4 linked regions of the Drosophila melanogaster genome follow. The protein of the gene in region 1 interacts with the protein of each later gene in a pairwise test. Each region holds a gene or a part of one and is shown in the gene's direction. Other genes may lie near its edges.

What was found.
Region 2: the proteins of bsh (region 1) and Sod3 interact in a two-hybrid assay, tested with the Drosophila melanogaster proteins (one large-scale study listed by BioGRID).
Region 3: the proteins of bsh (region 1) and RpL17 interact in a two-hybrid assay, tested with the Drosophila melanogaster proteins (one large-scale study listed by BioGRID).
Region 4: the proteins of bsh (region 1) and galectin interact in a two-hybrid assay, tested with the Drosophila melanogaster proteins (one large-scale study listed by BioGRID).

Annotation. Positions count from the first base shown.
Region 1 is NT_033779.5:19,765,014-19,770,807, reverse strand, and holds bsh (brain-specific homeobox), read left to right. Parts: upstream 1-1,740; 5' UTR 1,741-1,878; coding exon 1,879-2,321; intron 2,322-2,793; coding exon 2,794-3,068; intron 3,069-3,457; coding exon 3,458-3,760; intron 3,761-4,179; coding exon 4,180-4,448; 3' UTR 4,449-5,032; downstream 5,033-5,794. UniProt on the Drosophila melanogaster protein: DNA binding protein that function as transcriptional activator. May play a role in the determination and function of cell types in the brain.
Region 2 is NT_033778.4:11,379,809-11,386,418, reverse strand, and holds Sod3 (superoxide dismutase 3), read left to right. Parts: upstream 1-2,304; 5' UTR 2,305-2,404; intron 2,405-3,343; exon of another isoform or gene 3,344-3,487; intron 3,488-4,101; 5' UTR 4,102-4,107; coding exon 4,108-4,170; intron 4,171-4,236; coding exon 4,237-4,464; intron 4,465-4,527; coding exon 4,528-4,756; intron 4,757-4,824; coding exon 4,825-4,846; coding exon of another isoform or gene 4,847-4,850; exon of another isoform or gene 4,851-5,390; coding exon 5,391-5,580; 3' UTR 5,581-5,625; coding exon of another isoform or gene 5,626-5,737; 3' UTR 5,738-5,970; downstream 5,971-6,610. Other genes in the region: sprt (sprite), read left to right, coding at 1-863, 977-1,358. UniProt on the Drosophila melanogaster protein: Protects the extracellular space from the toxic effects of reactive oxygen intermediates by converting superoxide radicals into hydrogen peroxide and oxygen.
Region 3 is NC_004354.4:6,740,760-6,746,217, reverse strand, and holds RpL17 (ribosomal protein L17), read left to right. Parts: upstream 1-1,979; 5' UTR 1,980-2,109; exon of another isoform or gene 2,110-2,268; intron 2,269-2,402; exon of another isoform or gene 2,403-2,543; intron 2,544-3,050; exon of another isoform or gene 3,051-3,069; 5' UTR 3,070-3,079; coding exon 3,080-3,160; intron 3,161-3,216; exon of another isoform or gene 3,217-3,366; intron 3,367-3,391; exon of another isoform or gene 3,392-3,532; intron 3,533-3,726; exon of another isoform or gene 3,727-3,869; intron 3,870-3,961; coding exon 3,962-4,441; 3' UTR 4,442-4,681; downstream 4,682-5,458.
Region 4 is NT_033779.5:70,009-76,756, forward strand, and holds galectin (galectin), read left to right. Parts: upstream 1-2,378; 5' UTR 2,379-2,594; coding exon 2,595-2,969; exon of another isoform or gene 2,970-3,561; coding exon of another isoform or gene 3,562-3,684; exon of another isoform or gene 3,685-3,889; intron 3,890-4,120; exon of another isoform or gene 4,121-4,492; coding exon of another isoform or gene 4,493-4,564; intron 4,565-4,894; coding exon 4,895-5,010; intron 5,011-5,069; coding exon 5,070-6,090; 3' UTR 6,091-6,203; downstream 6,204-6,748. Other genes in the region: dbr (debra), read left to right, coding at 1-541, 599-887; CG11374 (uncharacterized protein), read left to right, coding at 6,438-6,748.

The DNA of each region.
Region 1 (5,794 bases):
GGAGGTGGATGTGGAGGCGGAGCAGCCAGTTAAGAGCTTTCGGCCAGGTGAGAGAAGTGCTCATCTCTGGCTGGGATACCTTTTTCCAGCTTTCCACTTCTATGGAGCTCTAAACTATATGTAACTATAGTCTCGAGATATTTTATTCTATTAATATTCTTTCTCTAAGATAAATATCAGTTTTTATTTCTCATATATGTAATAATAAATATATTTATAATAAATAATAAATAATAATAATAAATATATTTATTATTAAGGTATACAACCCTTAAATTAAAATTTAATTTAGATGGGATTTCATAAAATAGATTTATAGAAAATGAAAAGAATATTATAAAATAGATATTAAAAGAAAAACGTTGTCTTTTTAGGAACTATGAATCTTATATCTTTTTAATTTAATAATTTTAAAATTGGTAGAGCACTTCTGAAATTAGGTTATCACTTTTAAGTACTATTATTCTAATATCTTTTAAATACAATTAAATATTTTTATTCGTTAACACAAACCCCATAACCCCCCAATGTCCTTAGAGAAGCTGAGATATTTTTGCCCAGGAACAGGGCAGCACATCCCCAAGCAGACCCAACCATCACCGCGATCACTCGAATGCCATCCTAATGCGCCCATTTTAGGGCTTTAACCTAATAATGACGTTCGACTTAGTTTGCGTGACTTATTTTATTAATAAAACGAGCAAATTTGTCTTGCTTTTTGGTCGCATCGTCGTCATATGCTTTTTCTCTCTCGGCGATGTCTCGTTATTGTCCTTCCTTCCTGCTCTGTTTGTGGAGACCCCCCCCCCCCATATTTCCCTCTCTCTGAAGGAATTAAGGACTTTCCGCTGTGAGGAAAGACTGATTCTCAAAGCAACAGGACGAAACAGGACGAGTATAGTTGCGAAAGCAACCCCTCGGCGAGCTCTTCGCCGATTGGTGGCTTGCTGGAAAGGAGGCACGCCCCCTTTTTCGATGGTGTCACTTGGTTGGGTGCGGAGGGGGCCGGGTGTCCTTGGTGGGTGGTGTACGGCTATGTGGGGCTCTGATTCAATTAACCGCGCGGGGAAAAAATATCTGAATGCAAAGCAGGCGAATGCTTGGCCCCAACCCAGCGGGTACAGTTGCGCTGGCTCCACCTAGCAATTATCCTGTCACAGCAGCAGAATCGATTGTTTAATTCAATTATAATAATTGTGGCATTTAATGCACGCACATCATCAGCCAGACAGCCAACAATGGCGGCCGTGACACGTTAATTATGACAAGTGGGTGCCAAATGGGCGGCTGGGGACGTGGCAGGATGTGCCTGCCTCGCAAAATGGCGGCAGAGCAAGGACGCATAGTTGTGCAACTTATTTGCGGCTAACGGGGGTCAATTAAACTAAGGTTTTTCCGCACTAATCGCATGTCCAGTGGATGCCAGCAGAGAGATGGGTGCTCAAAATCCTGCCAGAGCAGGACAACCCTATGCGCATGCAAATCGAGGGGTGTGTTCATGTGCCCGCTTACGGGGATTCCCCGAATATTGCCGCTCTAAGCGGGCACCGCAAAGCGGGCCAACTGCAGCCGGATTGAGGAGGGGGTGGCACTGCCTGCGCTCGCATTTTTTCCCCCCCTTCGATTTTCCCCTTTTCGCAGGATGCAGGACCATATCGCCGGCTCGCTCGCACATGTCTGCTGGCAGCTCGTTTAGAGCAATTTGCTGGTTGATGTGCGGTGATTGCCGCAAACTCAACGCGACCGTCAACGAGCAAACAACATAAGCGCGCGCGCGGTCCAAGGACACGTATATATCCCGGCTGGCTGGCACATCTCCTGGCTCCGGTCTCCATCACTGCTCCTCGTGCTCCTCCTGCTCGGCCATCCTCCAGCGCAATGGCAATGCTTAATGAGGCCAGCTTGAGTCCTGCGGACGCACATGCTCATGCCAACGCCACCACGCCCACGCACAGCAAGGCGGCGGCGATGGCCAGTGCCACCACAATGCTGACCACAAAAACGCCGTTTTCCATCGAGCACATATTGTTTCAAAACTTAAATAGTGCCAGCAATAACAATAATAGTAGTGATACCAACGGCATCGCCGCAAACACCAACAACTACGCGCCAAAGAGCAGCAGAAACGCGGTGAAAAGTGCCAGAAGCGCATTTGCCCACGACAATAATCCGCACAAACATCCGTCGCAACATTCGCATCCGCCGCAGTCACATCCGCCGGCGTCCGCATCCGCATCCGCGACGGCTACTGCCCGCAGCAACCAGGCTGCGTCGGGTTACGCTGGCGAGGATTACGGCAAGTCCATGCACAGCACTCCACGGTTGGTTTCCGAATTCCAAGGCCTAATACTACTGCAGTGAAATTTTAGTTTAAAAAACTTTAATTTTAAGCCAATATAATTGCATAGAAAAGTGAAAAAAAGTAATTAAAATAAAAAAAAAATAAATAAAAAATAAGATAATATTAACAAAGTGAATTTATAAAAGAATAAGAAGTAAACATGAAACATCAAATACGATAGATAGTCACACCTTCTTGAAGACAAATATTTTGGAATAGCATACACCTTTAAAATCTTACTTTGGATTATGTTCTTTTAAATTATAGAATATTTTTTGTAAGAAAAATGATATTTTGGAAACATAGAAATCAGGCTTACCATAAAGCTTAATGTATCTGGGAATATATATTTGTATTTAAGCATATTAGCATAAAAATCACTATTGGACATAAAGAGAATAGTTTAACATCGAAATACCAATAGACCCCTAATTGAACCACTTGCTTCGTAGGTCCAACCACCACTCGCGACACGGAACTTCCCACTACAACGGAGATCAGATTTCGCAGCAGTTGGGATCTGGAGCAGCACAACATCCGCCGGTGCCCACGACTCAACCTCAACCTCCGCCTCCGCCGCCCCTGAATGGAGGTAGTGGTGCATCCAATGGAGTACTCTATCCGAATGCACCCTACACCGATCACGGATTTCTTCAAATGACCCTCGGATATCTCTCGCCGTCGTCGGGCACCTACAAGTCCGTGGATCCCTATTTTCTATCACAAGGTGAGTTAATGCTCGATATTACAGAGATATCCTCCTAGATGATTCTGATTTGTACTGGTACATACAAACATGTTGGTAATAAGTTAAAGTCGAACTCATAGAAATTAAAAGTCAATTCTAGCTAGAGTTTAGCTAATCGAAAATGAAGTTGGACATATTCTCATTAAAAAGCCAGCACAACATTTAATTTCACATTTAGAACTTTTTCAAAATGAAACCCAAATTAGTAGGACAACTGATGTTGAAGTGCAGTTTTTTGTTGCCACATAGCTTCATTTAGGGGCACTAAAACTCGAAATATTCGGTGTAAATGGCCATCAACACCGAAAGTTTTCATTTGTTCCAACTATAACGAAGTTAACCAAATTTTGCATCCTTTGCCCTTTCAGCCAGCCTGTTCGGGGGAGCGCCCTTCTTCGGAGCGCCTGGCTGTGTGCCGGAACTGGCCCTCGGACTGGGAATGGGCGTGAATGCCCTGCGCCACTGCCGCCGGAGGAAGGCTCGCACGGTGTTCAGTGATCCGCAGCTGTCCGGTCTGGAAAAGCGGTTCGAGGGACAGCGATACCTGTCCACGCCGGAGCGTGTGGAGCTGGCCACCGCCTTGGGACTCAGCGAGACGCAGGTGAAGACCTGGTTCCAGAACCGCCGCATGAAGCACAAAAAGCAGCTGCGCCGGCGCGACAATGCCAATGGTGAGTATATTGATTTCATAATCACAAATTTATTATGAGCAAATTAAATATTACGAAATTTATAATACTCAAATCAAGTTATTTAATATTCAAACCTTTTCTGGGCTGTTAAGAACAACTAGAGCGAAAAAGAGTTGCTCAAGTTTTCCAGCTTTTAGACAATGCAATATTTGAGTTAGCAATTAAATTGTCAAAAGGCATTTCGAGCAGGAGTGGTCAGCGGTTTTCAAATTGGTCACAAAGCACCAAAAACTAGACCACTGGAGTGAGTAGTTTCTTTGAGGAACTTTTGGACTATCAATTAGACCTTTTGGCTTTTAGCCGGCTCCTTGTGATGCAAAAAGTTTTGCTCAAGTTTCAACGCAAATCAAATTAGTTCTAAATTTTGTGGAAATTTCTTTGACTCTTCCATGCCGCAGAGCCCGTCGACTTCTCACGCAGCGAACCGGGCAAGCAGCCGGGCGAGGCCACCTCCTCATCCGGGGACTCCAAGCACGGCAAACTGAATCCCGGATCTGTCGGCGGCACACCCACTCAGCCGACGAGCGAGCAGCAGCTGCAGATGTGCCTGATGCAGCAGGGTTACTCCACGGATGACTACTCCGATCTGGAGGCGGACAGTGGCGACGAGGACAACTCCAGCGACGTGGACATCGTCGGCGATGCGAAACTCTACCAGTTAACATAGACAGTTCGATCGGGATGTGGACCTGGATCCTAAAGTAGTAAAGTTTTCGGTGTTTCAGTTGGGGGAAATACAACTAAAAGAGATTTTCAAATCAAAAAATATCAGTTTCTTTTACTAAATGACTTTTCTATTAGACAAGCACAGAAGTTACAAAACAACACATATATTATCAGCGCGAGCATGGTTATACCATTTTGAAAATATCTATTATTACGATTTAGTACGAACTATAGTTCCTTATAATTGTGGAAACTTACCCATCAGTTTCACCATTGAATTAATTGATTGATTATAACAGATACCATCCAGCTACTCTAGCTGTTTTGATCTTGTCCAAAAGAAACATATTTATTTTGCTATAATTATAGTTGTATTTCCCCCCAGATACATATTTGAATTGAATCGAAAAGCCGTGTAAATACCAACGAGTTCTTGAACGAGTTTTCTAGTCATGTATTAAGTCTAATAACTAATCAAATTTAGTGATTGTATTCGAGAACTTCCATTTTAAGATACATTAGTTCCCTGCGACTTCTTATCCAGAACATAGTGCTTACAATAAACGGAACGGAGCGAATTACGCGAATGCTGGAGAAGTGTTACTGGGTGGGTGGGTGGTGTAGCTTGATGCCCGCCCCCTCGCCGGGCAATCAAATCCAATTGACAACACAAAGTAGCAACTAATATGGTTAAGCAGCGGGAATACTGATGTATGGGGTTGGCGACTGCCACGCCCTGCGCATGTCCTGCCGCCCAAGTGGGCGGGCGGAAGCGGGTGGGATTGGATTGAATCGGGGTGGATGGAAATGCACTTAACAATGGCAAAATAATTGCGGGTTTTCAGACAGCCATTTTAGTGAGACACCCATTGTCAAGTGCGGAATAGAGTGAGGAGGTAAAAGTTAAATGTTTCAAATTGATTGGTAATTACGGGTTAGCAGGAATGCTCTCGAAAAAATATTAATAGTTTACCCGATTAAGAATGAGTCTTGGAGGGAATGGAGTTCCATATGCTTATATACATGTAGATACCTTTGCAGTCATCAAAACTCATGGATCTATTTGTTGAGAGAAGTTATCATTTTTAGTTTCATACTTTGGACTGTTAAGACTTTTCTTGACGTCAACGAAGCATATTCCAATTCTATTCTGGCGATTAAATGGCATATGTACATATGCTTGTTAATAATATGTATTTTTTTATATAAATTTCGAGTGTGTATTGAGTTATGCTCAACTTGGTAAACATGCGAATTAATAATATTCGGAATAATATACAACCTAAGGTCGAAGCAATGACAAGTCGCAGTCGCTTTAGCCACTTGTATTTTCCCAGTGAATACAGA
Region 2 (6,610 bases), on another chromosome or scaffold:
GCCGTGCATGCCACCTCGGGAAGATGGGCAGTTCAACAGAGGACAGACCAGCCGGGTTTCTACGTAGAATGGGCTTTAGAGGGTGATGGCTTGTACAAGGGCGATCGCATTTTGGAGATCAACGGACGACTGGTAACCGGAAAATCCAAGGAAGAGCTGCAGAAGCAAGTAGGAAACTCTGGCAAGTGTCAGATGGTTGTACTCCGCAAGAAGTCCGTACCTATACCACAAAAGCAACTAGACCAGGAGAAGGAGAACAACATGAGGCTGCAGCATCGCATATCGTACCTGGAAGAGCAGGTGCGAGAACTGCAGACAGTCAAGGAGCATCATCCATCGCAACAGCAGCAGCAGCAGCAGCAGCAACAGCAAAATCCACAGCAAAATCCACAGCAAAATCCACAGCAGACATCCTCCAATCAATCTCAGCATGTGACCAGCATCAGCATATCATCACCTCCATCAACACCGCCCGAGAAACCGTTGATCTTTCAGCGGGGCAACTATATTACCACTTTGGTGGGGGGCAAACCCATCGAGCTGATGGGTGACGACATGGCCTCGACACAAACCCCTCCCGGACATGTAACCAAAACACTGATCAAGGAGAATACCCACATCGATTTGAGAGATCGTCTGTCGCACATGTACTCCATGCCCTCCAAATCGCTGTCCGCCTCGAAGATCTCGATTAATAGCGATTCTGCCTATATGCAGCACCATCGACGTGATAAGGAGCGCCATCGCGATCGCCAGCACCGGGAACGCCCCAGAGATCCTCTCCAGCAACAGCAGCAACTGCATCGCGAACATCTCATGAGCACGCACGCACGCAGTGTAGAGCACCTGAATCATTACAATGGGTAGGTTATTCGCGATTCTTCGAGATTCTTGTGTAGATGTTCTAGCAAAGACAGGCTTTTTCATAGATTTAAATTTTCCTGACTAATCTCCCCGATCTTCTTCGCCATTCCAGACTGGATCGTCGCCGAGACACGCCCCGACAAAGTGAGTCGAACACACTTCGAGCCCGCCTGCCCAGCGATATGAGGAGTGTAAAATCCCTGGATTTCGATAGCGAAAACGAATCGAAGCCTGCGACTGAGACGCGTACCACTAGACCCACTCCGCCCAAGAAACCCCTCCGGCTATCGCTGCAACGAGCCCAAAGTCTGCAGACCGTGGAGCTGCACCCCTGTGCGGATATCGAACGAAAGCGGCCCATGAAGAGGGTCCACCACAACAACAACAACAACAACAAAGGTGGAGAATCACCGACTGGAGAGGGCCAGACCATGCTCATCGAGAACTGCAGTCCCATGCACACGGCTTCCCTCGGCAGGCACAAGCTCATCTAGAAACCCGATCCCAATCCAACCAAAACTAATTGTTAATCGAAGTAGCTTAATCCTCGACCGATCCTAACCGGCGGTTAAACCCAAAAAACAGGCGGACATGTGCAAAATTACAGTAGGCAATATAATTTTAACCAGCTCCCAAGTGGAAAGTTTCTTATTATGTAGTAGCAGTAGTATGTACTTACATTCTATATCTTGTATAAGTAGGGCTTGGCTATCAACATTTAGTATTGAGAGAATCAATAATTAAGAGTTTTTGTATGTACGATGATTTTATTAGCACAATTTACAAATGTGAATACACGAATATTTTCACCTACTTAAATGCGTTATTTATTTAAAAAATTCGATCCCGGCCTGCTATAAATGTGATGTAACTACAATTTCATGGCATCGGTTGGCATATCAGAAGCTATTACCTGGCAACTCATTTTCAAAGAATTTGTAGCAGTAGTTCTTCAAATTGCTTCGCCGTATCTGGAAAGCATGCCAATATTTACGACCTCCATTGTAGGCACGAGCCTGGCACATATTTTATGACGCCACAGTGATAAGGTATTCAAATGAAAAGCACGTTAGCGTGTTTCAGCTGCGCTTTTAGTAAGTTCAAAGAATTACTTAATAGCTATAATTTGGATATAATTAAAAAAAAGGCCGTTAATAGGATAATAAATATATCATCAGAGCTGGACAAAAGAATCTGATCAATCTGCAGTTGATAAAAAAAACTCAACGAGGGAGATAGAGCGATAGAGCGGTGAAGTAAGCCCGAGATAAACCTGAGAGCGGAACTCTCGCCTACGCGATCGTGCTGACCGCCAAATGCAATATCCGCCGCTCCACCTGGTGGCGCTCTCAATTCTCAATTCTGCGGTCTTCTTGCTCTCGCCAAATCTGCCCCAATGTTCTCTCAGCGAGTCGATTTGCGATGGCAATGCCAGAGGCTCGAAACAGTTCCGTCGCAGGTTTCCAACGGTACAGAGGTGCAATCGCTTAATTCTCGCAAAAAACAATCAGTACCCAATTATAAAATAGTTGCTAACAAGGTGAGTTTGCAACGGACGCGAAAAAAAAGAAGATCAAGGGCTAGTAATCGAGAATATTGGGTGAAGGTTAAGCTGAAGTTGAAGTTACTTGAGTTAATTGTAATTGTTAATTGTTCATAATTTATTGGTTTGCTTACATTTTAGAACCTGATTTAGATATATTACCCACAATTGCGTGTTACCAAAAAGAAACCAGTTACCGCAAAAACGGAGTTTACTTCACTGATTTTTGATTCTCTCATTCACTGTCCGCTCACCCTTGAGTGGGTTAAGGTAACCAGTTATTAATCCAGAAAAATGAGTGGGCAAAAATGCAGCACAGACCAGACACAAAATATTGTACATATCCATTACAATCCACACATTCCACGGCTTAAAACTTCAATAAACATTTAAATTCCCAATCGTGAACAGTTGGTTGAACAAGTGTTTACGATATTCTATCTTTTCATATATGTAAAATTATGGCTTGTTCTTATCTCAAAACTGCATAGCTTCGGCGTTTAAATTAGACGCGAAGTCTCTGTGTGTGAAATCAAGTAATCTTGGCTGTATTGTTTGCAAATTCACGAAGAGAGCCCTGCGATCAAATTGTTCAGATAAGCATCTTCATTAGCATATCGTTTCACGGTAAAACTCAAACTGAGTTATTATTTTCAAATCAATCATATTTAATCAGCAAGCAAGAGCCCTAATAAACCTTATTTGATGGACAAGCAGTGGCTATTAGTTGCAATTTGTGACCCATTTCGTGACAGTTTGAACCAGAATAAGTAAATACCTGGCAAAAAACAGATTAAAATACTTATACGTAATGACAATGGCATTTTTAGTTCCGAAATTCAGTCGCTCTACGAGCGTGAGAATCGTAAATTATGGGACCGATTCCAAGTGCAGATAAGGATACGTGTGTAGAGCAGGTACTGACCGCGTTTGAAGATCGTTTCAGAACTCGAGCGTGCAAGATCGCCAGCATATCGCAGACACATTGATAAGACCGTAAGGAAACCGGACCCATAAACAAATATTGCCCCGATAAAGTGTGACACCCATCCATTTCATTTGTGGAACTTTGGAAGCGAAGTGCGTACGAAAAAGAGATTGTTGATTGACCTTCCCGCAGCCGCACTTAACCCTGTGAAAAAGGCTGTTTGCATTTAGTTTCGTTTGGGTATCGCTCATTATTCACACACATAAATAATAATACCCGTTCGCACATCATATATGACCCACAAATCGTTTCATAAATTGAGGCTAGGCGCTTCAATTCCGCACACAACTGTCCGTTTAAATGGAATCAAGAGAATGTACACCTGATGACGTCCAAGCCAGAGATGAGCTGGAATTCAAGTGCCAGAGATGAGTTGGCATCACGGAATTTGAGATTACAAGACATAAACCCTCCTAGCATTTCCCAAAACTGAAAGTATTTGGTTCCAAATCATTTAAAGCTTTACTATAAAGCATTATATAAATAGTTTTGGAAGATGTTTTTAATATTGAGTCCATATCAATTATCGAAATTTCAGGATTATCATTTAGTTCATTTTTAGCTATGTCCAGTAGATCATCCCTGGTGGGATTTTCTCTGCTTGTGCCACTCAATTTAAAATTATTTATTTATAGACATTTAAACATTTCTAACATTTGCTATCCGAGTCGTACACGTGTCTAATTTAACTATGATTTCCTTGCAGTTCAAAATGATGCAATATCTTGTTGTTAGCCTGGCACTCTGTGCCACAATTTGCTCTGCTGCGCAGACGGTAAGATATATAATCTCGTTAATTTGAAAATCCACTTATAATTAGGACACTGAACTTACTTTGCAGCGCAATATGCCCATTCAAGCCATTGCCTATCTGATTGGACCCGTGCAATCGGATAATACCCAGGTCAAGGGCAACGTGACCTTTACGCAGAACGACTGTGGCCAGAATGTCCATGTGCGCGTCCAGCTGGAGGGATTGAAGGAGGGCAAGCACGGCTTCCACATTCACGAGAAGGGAGATCTGACCAATGGATGCATCAGCATGGGTGCTCACTATAACCCCGATAAGGTAGATGCGGGATTCTTTATAGGATTAGGTGTCTAAATCACTAATATAACTTTTATGTCTCAGGTTGATCACGGTGGCCCCGATCACGAGGTGCGTCATGTTGGCGATCTGGGCAACCTGGAGGCCAACTCCACGGGCATTATCGACGTTACATACACGGATCAGGTGATCACCTTAACTGGCAAGCTGGGGATCATTGGCAGGGGAGTTGTTGTCCACGAATTGGAGGATGATCTCGGTCTGGGCAACCACACGGATTCCAAGAAGACCGGCAATGCAGGCGGCCGCATTGGTAAGTAGTCAGTGTAAAATAATAAAATAATAATAATAATAAAATATTTGTTTTAAACCTTCTTTCAGCCTGTGGTGTTATTGGCATCAAGTAAATATCCCTTCCAACGTGTCAGCCAAATCAATATGCTGCTCGAATACTTTATGTGTAGTTGTGTAACTCCAGGCGTAGTAACTAATGAAATGTTTTCCCAATTTTCCCAATTCCCCCACCCACAATCACACTCACCCTTACATGTTTGGCTTACACATTTCCCTCAATTAATTGTCTCAGTTCACTGACTCACTCGATTTGCCGTGTGTGTGTTTGTGTGTAATAAAATCAACAAAAATTAACCGAAATCTAAGCTAAACATTAGCATACTCTGTACCACTTGTGTTCTACCACCTCATATTCATGGCCTAAACAAACTTTCGCGCTTTGCTGGGGTTGCTTTTCCGAGTGGGTAGGTATGACAGAGAGCCTTTTTACCTATCATTTTTACTAACATCATTAGCATTAGTCGGTCGGTCGGTCGGTCGGTCGGTCGGTCGGCGAAGAGAAGGGGATATTGGAATAACAACTGCCGCTGGAATCGGAACTTTACTGATCCAACCAGGGTTCAATCAAAAAACTCACATTGTATGTTTTCCAGTGGCCCATCTGTACCTGCACCTGCACCACCAACACCACGCCATCAGCCACTGTACTATGTGCCCCATGGGGAGCCACAAGATCATGTTGTCTATCCACTCCAGCACTATCCTTTGCCATACCCACACCCATATCCATATCCGCACCCATACCCCTATCCGTATCCGTTGTCGCACCAATTGTATCTGTGAGATCGCGAGACTACACCGTTCGCCTGTTCCACCTTCTAATTGCAGCTCGGATGTGGACGAGTGGCCATGTCGCGATGGTGGCGCCGGCGCCCTGCGCTACTCCTTCTCCATCCTGACCGTCATCGTGGCCCTCATCATGGCCCGCAGCCTTGACTAATCCGAAACATGCACCCGGATCGGATCGAATGCACGCATGTGGCATGGGATTGTTGGCCATCGTAGTGATCTGCATACCTACTTACACACTAACCACACAACCATGAGTCGCACACCACTACCAACAGTAATTATAATACTCCAGCATTATCCACCCAAATAGAGAAATCAAAGGAACTAACTAAGCTACTTGTAAAGTGTTTGAATTGATCGATAATAAAGTTTGTTATTTGTATTTCGGGTGCTTGCAATTTGTACGTGCTTAGATAGTAACAAAAGTTGCTGAAAATGAACGACAGATAAGGGTTAGCTCTAATTTTATAAAAAAGATTAGACAAAGTGTTTCCAATGGACTGTTAGAATTGCACATAAATCACAGTAGTAGTAAGTTATCAAGAGAATTAAATATAACTTCAATTTTGTATGTTGATTTCTAAGGACAAATAGCTGTTTGTTCCCTAAAATAGGTTACCAAATAAATGAACACTCAAAAAGTTGGTAGGAAAACTATATATAGAACTTCGACGTCACCAAAGCTTTTCCTACCCATACACCTTTATGTGGCTGCGAATGGGTCATATAACATTTAGTTGCCTTTGATTTGCTGAATTCCAGCTTAGAGCCACAATTTGCTTTAAATTGCGGAAGCCTTCAGAAAATATTTGTGCTCCAATCATTCAGAGAACTCCAATTCCCAGGGATTTTGATTCCAAGCCGCCGCAACTAATGGTCAAGCAACAGTTTTTGCTTTTATTTTTTCTAGATTTCTTCGACCAGATAGGCTCAGCCAGAGAATGGGTCAAACAGTGGGATTCTAGAAAACCTAGGGCCATAATTCCCGACACGCAACACTAACATCATCCGAAAGACTGTG
Region 3 (5,458 bases), on another chromosome or scaffold:
GTAGTGCACTGAGTGCTCCTGCCATCCATCGCGCACTATCATTACTACCAAGGAAACACATGTGCGTGCCGTAAATCGGTGCATACGATAGCCGCCTATCCGCCGCTGACTCATGGAGCTACAAGCTCCAAGCTCCAAGCTCCGATGTTCGAGCCACAGATCTCAGCTTCCCCGCGGAACCAGTTTCCATGGTGTTTGCGTTGTTTTGTGCTTTTTGGCTTTCGCAGGTGTTTCTTTGGTCTTGCGGGTACTTTTTTTCTATGCTCATTTGACGCGGTCTTGGTCAGCGGAACAACACGTTGTGACGTCAGTTTGGGTGTTGGGTGTTGCTAATCGTCGAGTGGGTGGGTTGGGCAGCTCTAGGAGGCTCAAGTTCGAGTGCACAGAGAATAATGAATTGATCGTCATGGATATCAAATGCTTGGCCACATAATGTAATCTGATTTGAAATATTTTGTGATGGCTAATCTATGTATATATGTATATATATATTTCTGCATACCACATAAAATAGCCACATTTTCGCTCTGTGCACGTGAGTAGTGGGTGGTGGCCAGTCTTTGGTTCGTTCTGGGAGCAGTGTTCTGTTTCTTTTGCTTATGGTCTTGCTTGAATGCCCACGAGCCGCGCATTCCAAGGCCCAAACCCTCGGTTGGCAGCTCCAGTTAAGTGCCACCGTGTGTGTGTGTGTGTGGAACCGGATCCTTGGGGCAGCGACATGGACGTGGAGCTACGGACGACATGGCACGTGCAGCAGTTGCGACAGACACTCCAGTTCCTCGACACTTGACCTCAAGAGATGGAAGCGAACCAAGCGATCGAGCGTCACCTGCAATTAGTCGTGAATCATGAATAAATTGAATGGCTACGCGGACACTAAAAATACTCGAGCTTTGAATTTGCGCCAATTAAAAAGCAATAAATGCATTGTTTTCAGCTTTTTGCTTGGCGTTTGACTGAGCAAAGAACTCGGATTTGCCGCAGGATTTGCTGAGTGGTATGGTTAGTGGTGAGTGGTCACTGGTCAGTGGCCATCGGTGAGTGGTGAGCGGTGGAGCACCGCCTCCTTCGACCGGTTTGATCCGCAGTCTTATTTTTGATCGCCAGCCGATTAGCAACGGGCATTTTTACGGTCATGTCCAGAACGAACGCGCTAATAAATGACTAACAGAAAAGGGACAATGCAGTCGGGTTTATTTTGGCTCGATCGGTTTTATCAGTTCGCTTAATTAAAATCCATTGTCCCCCCAGGTGCTAGTTATTTTCCATACTTACATATAATCGAAAAACCGCAAAATACTGGAAGTTTCCCAGGCTTAAGTGACGTCAGTTTTTTGAATCCATTAGCCAAAACCACAAATTTGGATGCTCCGCCGCTTAATAAACGAACTGTTTCCCACCATTTAATGTGGGCCAATAGAATGCACAAATATTTATGATTTAACTAAATTTATTTGATTTTTAAAGCTATGGGAATTTAGGCCCAAGTGAATGCCACTATTGTTCATAAATGAAGTGAGTAATTTATGCAGAGCTCTGGGAAGTTTCCATTTAATCGAAAGCCCTCTACTTATCTCGGCTTCAGTTTAGTTCGATTCCATAAAATCAGGATTAGTATAATTTGAACGGGATTTCATTTAAAATCCCGCGTTCGGCGCCAGGAAATTGCCAAGTGCCGAAATAGCTCAGTTGGGAGAGCGTTAGACTGAAGATCTAAAGGTCCCCGGTTCAATCCCGGGTTTCGGCAATTCTTAGCTTATTTTTTATTTTTCTATCGAACTGCTGCACTGCACTGGATGGTGCAAGCCATCGCTCAGCTAAGCGGGGTGTTAAACCATCGCTTCGCTTTGCAACACTGTTAGATCTTGCCAGGGGCGCAGAATTTGGTTTGCGTCCAAAAAAAACCAGGGATTACTGGCCTATTTTTAGCCATTTTCTGCAAATGACGGTCGGTCACTCTAATTCGACTTGATTTCCAGCACTAGAACTGCCATTTCCTTTCTTTTTCGTTCCACGTTTCCGGTGAGTGCATGTGCCTAGAAAGTTATTTTCCGAAAATTGCCACTTAAATCGTATTCAAACTCATTTATTTGTAGCCAAGGCACTGTGGTACGTTTGCGGTCGTGTTAATGGTGTTTGCGGCGCAATTCTGGCTGGTGGAAATCAACACGTCGAATTGGCCGGCCAGAAAATGCGCTGACACCAAACCAATTCATTTTTTTTCTTACATATTTTTTTTACTGTGGGCCTGCGGGTCAAAACTGAAAGGTGCACCATGTAAAAACAAGCGAATGCATGAATGCATTATATGCCTTGATGGCATTATCTTTTTTTTTCTGTGAAATATTGTGTAAATTGTTCCAGAAATGCATGTGGTGTTGTCATTGTGTCTGTGTGTGTGTGTGTGCCTATGCGCGAACATTGTTTCTCAAAAGTATTTAAACTATCCAAATAAAGTGGTAACTCAATGAAATGCACATAGTTAGACAGTTTTCAATGGATTTCGACTCGGAATCCGTGCAGAATTTTTGTTGTTTACAGGAGCACACACATGCGCACTCCCTTACGCACGCACACACACACATAGGAGCAGGCAGCCGCTTAGTTTTTTTTCTCGCTCATTTTGCACGTGTTTTGATTGCCGCCGCGTTTTTAGATAAAAACCGGTGTTCCAATTGGTTATATTCTTGATATATTTACACACGACCGCCAGCGTATTTAGGTTGCCCTCTGAAATGAGAAGGAAATTGGCGAAAATCTCGCAATTTTCGCATTTTACAATACCGGTCAACATAATAGCAGCAGCAGCAAATAAAAGCGTGGTTAATTCAAGCACCAAATTTTGATTCAGCTTGCTACAACAAATTCGAAACCTTTAAAGCTTTTTGAAGCGTCTCAAGAAACTCACTAGAATTTAATTCAATTTTAAATAATCATACAAATCAATAAGAATCCATTAAAATTCCTTCTGCTAGCGTGCCACAACTGCTGTCTAATATCTTGACCGGATGTGTTATTTACACATATCAAATATTAAGATATCTTACTAATTGCCCATGTTTCTTGCAGATATTGAAAAATGGGCCGTTACTCACGCGAGTCAGACAACGTGGCCAAGTCGTGCAAGGCGCGCGGGCCCAATCTACGTGTGCACTTCAAGGTGAGAATCCTGCCCAGAAATCCGAGGAACCTGGGCCTTCTTGGGCATCAACCAGTCCGCAGCTTAAATCAGTGAATGCCAGCCGATTGTGCAGCATCTCGCTTTTGCATTGCTGCTAGAAGAATCCTCCAATTTGGACGAGTTCATCAGCTGAGTGCCAAGTCCCAAAACTCTGGACGCCCTCTTCTAAAATCTCGCCAACAACCAATTATCCCAATGAATCCAGTATTTCGGCATGCCAACTAAAAAGGCGGTTGCTCCATTCTGGACAACTGCTGACGATACGTGTGCCCAGAGCGAATCCAAAGCCTTGCTAAAACAGCGGCCTGCTGCTTTCAATGAGCTAGTCTCTACCTGTAGCCTGGCACAGATCTAACTAAACCCAAATGAAATCCATCACGGAATCCACTAGATCAAGCTCATATCACCATCACCAGTTAGCTAACGAAATAATGTACACATATCTAGCAGCTCAAGCTGATAACTTAACCAATAGTTATATGCCATGGGCATATCCAATCCTGTATAGCTTACATGATATGAGTTATGATTTATGTTCCCCCTGCATGGGCACAGTTTTAAACTAGGTGGTTATCCTCCATGGAAGATCACCGATCGAAAGCTGTGCCCAAAGCAAACCCCAGCCATTGTAAAACAGCGGCGTGTTGGCCCTCAGTGCTCGCGTCTCTACCTGAACCTTGGCACAAAGTAATATAGTACTTTCCAATCACTATGATTTACGATCGCGCCGCATTTATGTATCAGCAGCAACTGATGAACGATCATTTACTCGTTTTGCAGAACACACATGAGACCGCCCAGGCCATCAAGCGCATGCCCCTGCGCCGTGCCCAGCGTTACCTGAAGGCCGTCATCGACCAGAAGGAGTGCGTGCCCTTCCGTCGCTTCAACGGAGGAGTCGGTCGTTGTGCCCAGGCCAAGCAGTGGAAGACCACGCAGGGTCGCTGGCCCAAGAAGTCCGCCGAGTTCCTGCTGCAGCTGCTGCGCAACGCCGAGGCCAACGCTGATTGCAAGGGTCTGGATGCCGACCGCCTGGTCGTCCACCACATTCAGGTGAACCGCGCTCAGTGCCTGCGTCGCCGCACGTACCGTGCCCATGGTCGCATCAATCCCTACATGTCGTCGCCATGCCACGTCGAGGTCATCCTCACCGAGAAGGAGGAGCTTGTCTCCAAGGCCACTGATGACGAGCCCGCCAAGAAGAAGCTCTCCAAGAAGAAGCTGCAGCGCCAAAAGGAGAAGATGTTGCGTTCTGAATAAAATGTGTTCTGGGCCAGCCGCCCAAGCCGGTGACAACTACTGAAGCTCCATTCTTTTTTTTTTTGTATCCTAAACTTAATATCGATTGTTGTGCGACGAGATTGGAAGTCGCGGATGTGGAGAATACAGAGCACAAGCCCCAGATTTGACCTCCTGGAAATGCTATGCGTTTTGTGTTTAACTCAACCCACTTTTTTTTTGCTAGGCTAGGAGAGCAATAAAGTGAATTGCTGTTTTCGTACATCTGACTTGAACTCAAAATGGGGTTAGGGCTAGATTTTGGCGCTCTCTAGAAAGGAATTTTTTAAAGGTATTGTGAGGGACTTTGATGAAATAGGAATATGCACGGCATAATATGCAAACCACTAATTATATATAAGTTTATTTAGATCGGATTGTTTTTTCCAGTGTGCATTGGCATTAAGCCAATACACCATCCTTAGTTAGCGGAGACACAATACACATTGGTTAGTACGTGCGCGAACCATTGCGATAACTTATCGATATCGATATAGCCAAGATCGAGTTCCGCAACAGCGAGCTTCAGACAGCTAGCCCGTTGAGCGCGCATTTGATTTGAATTTGAAAAAACGTTTTGCCGATCAACAGCGAACATTTTCAGTCTATTTCCTTCCGCAGAGCTCTTGTGGAATGTTCGGTGGCTTTTGCGCGCATTCACTTGCATCAATTGCCTTCGAGTGGCCACTTGGCATATTCATTTAAACTGATTTCATTGTAGCGCACTCGTTTACCAGCCTCCCCACATTTTCTTTGATTACAATTCAGTCGTACTTATACTTACAATGCAAATTAATTGAATTATTTCAATTTGCTGTGCTTCTGGCTCTGGTCAGCGTATTTCGTATTATTATTTTCGTGAGCTCTCTTCCCTGTTTTTGTCTATTTTTGTACTTTTCTTTCCTGATTCACTCGCTGGAGGAATGCCACGCCCACAAGCCCTGCTTGATATCAATTCCATTGAAGGAGCAACCCACCGAGAAAAAAGACGGAAAAACA
Region 4 (6,748 bases), about 20 Mb from region 1:
CTTTATCCAGAGAAACAAAGAAAAGTGCGGTAACTGTTAGAAAAGAATCTTTGGGTCAGCTAAAGCAGGCACCCACAAGTACCGTCCCGGAAGACATTTGCGATCCTAAAGCCAGAGCCATTAATGCGAAAGAAAATCCCGAAGTGTGTGAACCAGTCCCGGACAATGGAGGTAGTGACGATATTGATGATAGCAAAGCAGGCTCGGTATCCGTTCGGAAGTCGGAAGTCAAAGCTGCGCTTGGACAAAAGCTTTTGGAGGCTATTGGACTTTCTCAGTTGGGAGCCGATGCAGCGCCTGAAAACTCCCGCGACACTCTTAGAAGTGCGTTAAAGCGCTCTATAAAACAGGCCCAGGAGCAACAGCTTCAGCTGAAGCGAGGCAATCATGAAGAACCTGTGAAGCAACTTGCCGATTCCACAACCAAGCTAAGTGCAGCAGAATCGGCAGATGAGCATAAAAAAGCAATTGCCGAGCGGGAGCTGGCCCTGCTGAATCGTGGATTTAAAGCAGGAGAAGAAAACACGATTTCCCTAAAAGAGTGAGTTGTAGATTTATTGATACGGACTTTATTTAAAATGTTTACCGTATTTTTTAGTGATAAGTGGGAGCGAACTGATGTTAGTTCTTCATCATCAAGAAACCGCCGAGGACGTAAATCAAAGATTGATTCCAACGTCGAGGATTTTGGCGATGAAGAAAAAAAAGACTCTAGATGGGATGAAGACGATGACTTGCCGTTAAAGGCAGATACGGAAAAACCTTCAGAACGGAACAGCACCAACGCCCGACCGACCCGTACTAGCAAAACGTTATCAAAGTATTATAAAGGACCAACTTCTAAATCACATCATAGCATGGGTACGCGCTCGACACGACAGCGCTGAGATATGCTTTATATCCTTCATATAAAATATGTGGTTTTATTTTGGAAAATATTAAATACCTATTTTACGTCCCTCTAAGATGCACATGTAATTGTGTACAATGTATACTCCCATTTAAAAACTAGTATAGTTGTATTAACTTTATTAAAAGCAATGGCTGGAGTCTACACACGAAAATAAGTCAAGAATAGTACAACTATTTAAAGAATAACACGATTTGGTTGAAAAAATTTCCTTACGTATGTAAATCGATTAATTATTCAGCGCTTAAGTTTTCTTTTGGGTTAAGTTTTGAACATATAATGTACCTTCTGGTGTATGTTAACATAAAATCCAGAATATGCCTTTAGACAGCAGAACGGAAGATATTTATTTGGTTTACAGTCTTGAATCTAAGCTGTATTTTTGTAGTTTTAATTAAACTTTTGTTTTTAATAATAACGGTACCGAAAAATAATTTTAAATAATGTAAATAAATAATGATGCTGAAAATTTAACAATTGCAACGTCTTTTCTAAACATCATCTTAATTGATAGTTCACAAACTTATTTAAGTTCAAAAGCAGAAAGAATGTAAGCTTCGACAGGTCATTTCGATCATTAATAACAATTTGATATACACCACTTTTGTATATGTTTCGGTAATGATAAAATCGGTTGTGATATATCTGCTTTAGAAACAGCAGGAAAATGAATGAAAACAGCTAATAGGCAATTGCCTTAAAAACTTGCACATACGAATGTAAATATGTATGTACATATGTACATCAATCTCTTTTTACAAAGCACACAGCGCGAGGTCTAATGGCTGATTCAGACAATGATAATGTGCAAAACAAAATATCAGTTTGAAAAGCTTCGCGACGTGTGGCGGTTGTTGAAATCGAGCAAGTCAAAATATGTACACATGTAGGTTTATGTGAACGCCCCAGTGATTCTAAGAATGAAGAACATATACTTGTTCAATAAAATATTGTTTTTATTTAATTATTAGCATCAAACTTTTAACGTTAAAAAAGGTCTTCTTAGCGATTGGTAACATATTATTTTTCAGCTATCTAATGAACAATAGCAACGTTTTCAACTGTTCCGAGATCAATTTATTTCCATCATACAAATGACTTGCTGCTGTGGAAAGCAAAAACGAAGCCAGGATGAAACCTATCAGAGGTTTAAAAATGAGGATGTAAGTTTGTCGATACTAATTGCTTTGCATCGTCAACTTTATGGTACATTAATAGCCAAAAAGAACTACCACCGCTATCGAATACGACAGACAACGCCTGTACTAATACATATGAATGAAGAATATACATACTAGAAAAGTTTCTTAATGTAGATACATATGTATAGGCGCACCTACGCATGACTAAATTTGTATGTGTAGACAAACAATGTTATCAGAATGCAAAAGCTACATATCTCGGGGTTGATAAAAAGTATTGAGCTATAGGTGGCCTCGGTCAGGCCGGCATAAAATCAAATTCCAAACAGTCCGCTCACAAACCGCTGCTAAAGGCACACGTATTTTGGCTTTCAGATGCATACATACATACATGTGTATGTATATATGTATTCAGCCAAAAAAAATCTCGTACATTAAAGCGCGCTGAATTGCACCAAAAGAGCGAGAGAGCGTATAAGCTCCGTGCTCAAAACCGCATTTGCATCGGGTAAAATCGGTAACCCCATCTTTGCATAGTCAGTATGACGGCAATAATACTCCTGGCTTGCCACTCGGTTCGCGAACTCGTCGATCTGTCAGATGCTCTGTGGCAGAACACTTTTAATATCGAACGAAGTTTAAACTATTATCGCATCAAGCGCCGTTTGGAACTGTTTCGATTTCATTGCCGCGAGCTTTGGTTGCGTCAGGTGTCAAAAACATCCGATCCAATGCATCGGAAGGCAGGCATAGATTTTGCAGCCATTGAGGCGGGTGCAGACTGTGTCCTAAATATGGATGCCTTTGACGATACGACAACGGAACTACACAAGAGGTTTTTACAGGCGGAGGGCACAAGACCCTTTCCTTCGGATTGCATCAGCGGCATCGAGGTGGTGGATGGAAATGAATTTAAAGTGCGTAATCGGGATACTATAGCGCAAATACTGAGTGGTTTAGTGATAGTGCTTAAAGTGTAAACATGTGTTTGTACGCATCACGTACAAATGTTTTTCTCTTTTTTCGTCTTTGTTTTGACATTTAGCGTACTCCGCAGTAATTCCCCTATTCGCGTTGTGGGGGAGCTTTTAATAGCTGTTCGCACAGTCGCGGTCGGACAGGGTGGTTTCTTTAGCGCTGACACCAATTTAAAAAAACTCCACACTGACGCCAATATACACAATGGCGCCACTGTTGTTTTAATTAAGTTCAGGCACTTCACTATGTAGTTTAAATGAGTTGTGTATAATGGCGCCACTGCGATTTTAAAGCAGGATTGGTGTCGCCAGTGCAATGTGTTTTTAAAGCTTTTGTGTATCAAAGCGATAGTTTTCCAAAAGCTGTTTATAGAACTCGTTGATCTGTCAGATGTTCTGTGGCAGAATACCTACAAAATCGAGCGAAGTTTAACTGTTTGGATTTTATTGCCGCGAGCGTCAGCCCTCAAGGCATCGGAAGGCACACATTGATTTTGCAGCTATTGAGGCGAGTGTATACTGTGACCGAAATATGGATGCCTTGGACGGTACGACAATGGAACTGCACAACAGTTTTCTACAGGTGGAGAGCACAACACACTTTCCTTTGGATTGCATCAGCGACATCGAGGTGGTGGATGGAAATGAATTAAAAGTGCGTAATCGGATAAATTGAGCGCAATTGCTGTGGCTTAGCGGTTGTGCTTATATACGTACATGCGTGCGTTTGTCACATCATGTACAATTGCTCTTCTCTTTTTCATCTTTGTCTTGGCTTTTAGCGTACTCCGCAGTAATTCCCCCATTCGCGTGCTGGGGGAGCTCGAAACAACTGTTTGACATAGTCGTGGTCTGACAAGGTGGGTGGCTTTAGCACTTAGTCAAGTCTGAACCCTAGCCACTCTTCATAATTATTTAAAGCGATAAGCTCTCAACACAAGTCAATTCAGGAGCTTACTCGCCATTTATTTGCACATCTGTTAAGGGTGTATACATACATACATATATCGTCGTTTTTATATGTCGAGTTCAAAGAGCTTTTGGCGTTGTCATAGCGGCGTAGCTTCAATTCTCTTCAAGCGTGTAACTCGCGAAAAGGGAGACAATAATAACAGCTAAATATCTGGCAACCAAACCATTTTGTTAAATAACATTAAAATCCTTTGAGCTCCTGAAGGCTGAAAAGAACGTTTTAGGGCAGAATATATTCATCAACAGCGAATTCTAAGGAACTAAAAGTATATTATTTACATGCGCAGTATTTAAGTTACAGTGACTTTTCGATTTTCAATGTGCGGTAGCGAGCAAGTACGATGTTGATTCATTCCTTAATGTCTAAAAACAAATACATTTCGATAAGCGATTCATAAAGAGTTCTGTGGTTAAAAAAGTACATCCCTTGAATTAGACGAATATTTAATTTTTTAGTTCTGGCTATTCAGATTTCCAAATCAGAACGTAAAATGTGTCTTAGGGTTTTGTATGAAAAAATGATGTGCTGTTGTCCCAAGCTGAAAAAGGGAGGTTTGAATGAGGTAAGCAAGCATTGAACATATTGACGGAAGAATTTATAACTAAAAATGTACAAAAGAGTAAAATGATAGCTTACATCTGTAAGCAACTAGTATTTTGATTGTCCTTTGGAAATGACTTATAGTCTTATCGTTTGTGCAAACGATAAACAAATTAAGTTAATCTTAAATTTTCTTTATATATGGAATGGCTGACAAGGCTACTTTCCAATTTGGCTATATTTTAATCCGAACACTGCCTTTTACGATAAACCTTGAACTGGAGGGGTGAAAGACTGTTTTAAGAGTAATTAAAAGTTTTTAAAAGTTCTGCTTATTAAATTCCCATTCTAGGCCTCATTTTACGAATATGCAGATGCTGTGCCAAAATATTTTAACGACCAAATAGGGAAATTGAGCGAAGGGATAAGTTTCACGGTGACTGGGAATCTCTCTGTAAACTGCGAGAGGTATGTTAAGTGGCCAAGTTTACGTGATTAATTTTTAAACTGTTCCTCGTCCTTTTTAGGTTTTCCATCAATCTGGTTTATAACAATGACTCTCGAGATGTGGCGCTCCACATTAATCCACGGTTGCCACAAAACTATATTGTCCGCAACACCAAAGTACAGGACATTTGGGGAAACGAGGAAGTGTCCTCGGCATTGCCGTTTCTACTAAGTCGAGGCGAGGAGTTTTCCATTCAAGTGCTAGTTACTGAGGCATGCTATATGATATCGGTAAACGGACAACACTTTGCAGCGTACACTCATCGAATCCCTTATAGGGATGTTCGCATTCTGGAAGTGAAGGGAGATGTAAGTAACGTGGAAATGAAGCGAACTTTGGTCTTAAAATATCCTGAGCGATTACCCCAGTCAGAGGCTAATAACATTGAGCTTCACATAGATGATGGGATTAATGAAATTGATGCCAGCGTTGAGGAGACTGTTAAAATACCTCATGAGTGGTGCATTATTAGCGCCCCGAACACACAGTCGGACAGTTCGCCTAAGCGTAACAATAGTTCGAATGATCTTGGCCTTACTTTGCCTTATTATGGAGCATTGCCACCAAATTCGTTGGTCGATGGTCGATGCTTGAAGATTGAAGGGAGAGTGCGATTACTTCCCCACTCGTTTTATATAAACCTGCAACAGGGGCAGGACATATGGCCACATCCAGTAATTGCATTCCACTTAAACCCACGTTTTTCGAAAGCAAGCAGCGGCGCTATTGGAAAGGCGGTGGTGTGTAGGAATGCCTGGCTTAATGGAGCTTGGGCACAAGAAGAGCGTTCGGAGTTTGACACAAACTTTCGCCCTGGTCGGTCTTTTTGTTTAGCCATTGTTTGTACCAAAACATCCTTTGAGGTGTATGTCAATCGGCAGTTTATGACTGATTTTAAATATAAGGTTAGCCCTGAGGTGGTGGACACTGTCTACATACAAGGAGATGTTAAACTTTGGAATGTAACGCTGGAAAAAAATCAGATGATTAAAGGCAAAAATATGCGAGTCTATCAGAATCCGTGGTTCTTTAGTGAGTAGTAGCTGTTCATGTTTTTATTTTTTAGTAGTTTAGCGACAATAAAAAAGTGATACGCTCGTGTTTCATTATACAATATTTTTGTTAATAAATAAAATTATGGTAACGTCATCCGATTTTTATTATTCTTCCCTACACATGTGTATTTATATAATTGAACGCATAGTCGCTATATGGGTATTTATTGAGTAAAAAATAGCTTTCAATGTTTCTGGTAATGTCGTTTTCTTTTTTAATGTCAAACTCTGGGTATTTATTCAAATGTTATAAATATTTTAATCTCCCTTGTATAACAACAATTTTGAAGTTTCTTTCCCTACTACTGCCGTATAAAATGGAGAGCAAGTGTATGAGCGTGTATCCTGGAGCGTGCACTGTAGCTCTAAGGCGAGTTATGGATGCGATGTCGTTGTTCTATGAAAAGCGTTCAGAAGCCCATCGACGCAAACATTTTAAAGTGATCCAATGTCCAAGGCCAGGACTTTGTTTCGTCTTCCACGGAATGATCCTAATGGCATGTGAGCATTTTGTTATTGATTTTCTCACCAAGCAGGGAAGTGAAATATGCGAGGAGTGCGATGTCCTACTGCAAATAGGATCACGACTTCCTCAAAATTATATAACGCGTAATTCTCGTCTTAAGGGAAAATGGGGACCCGA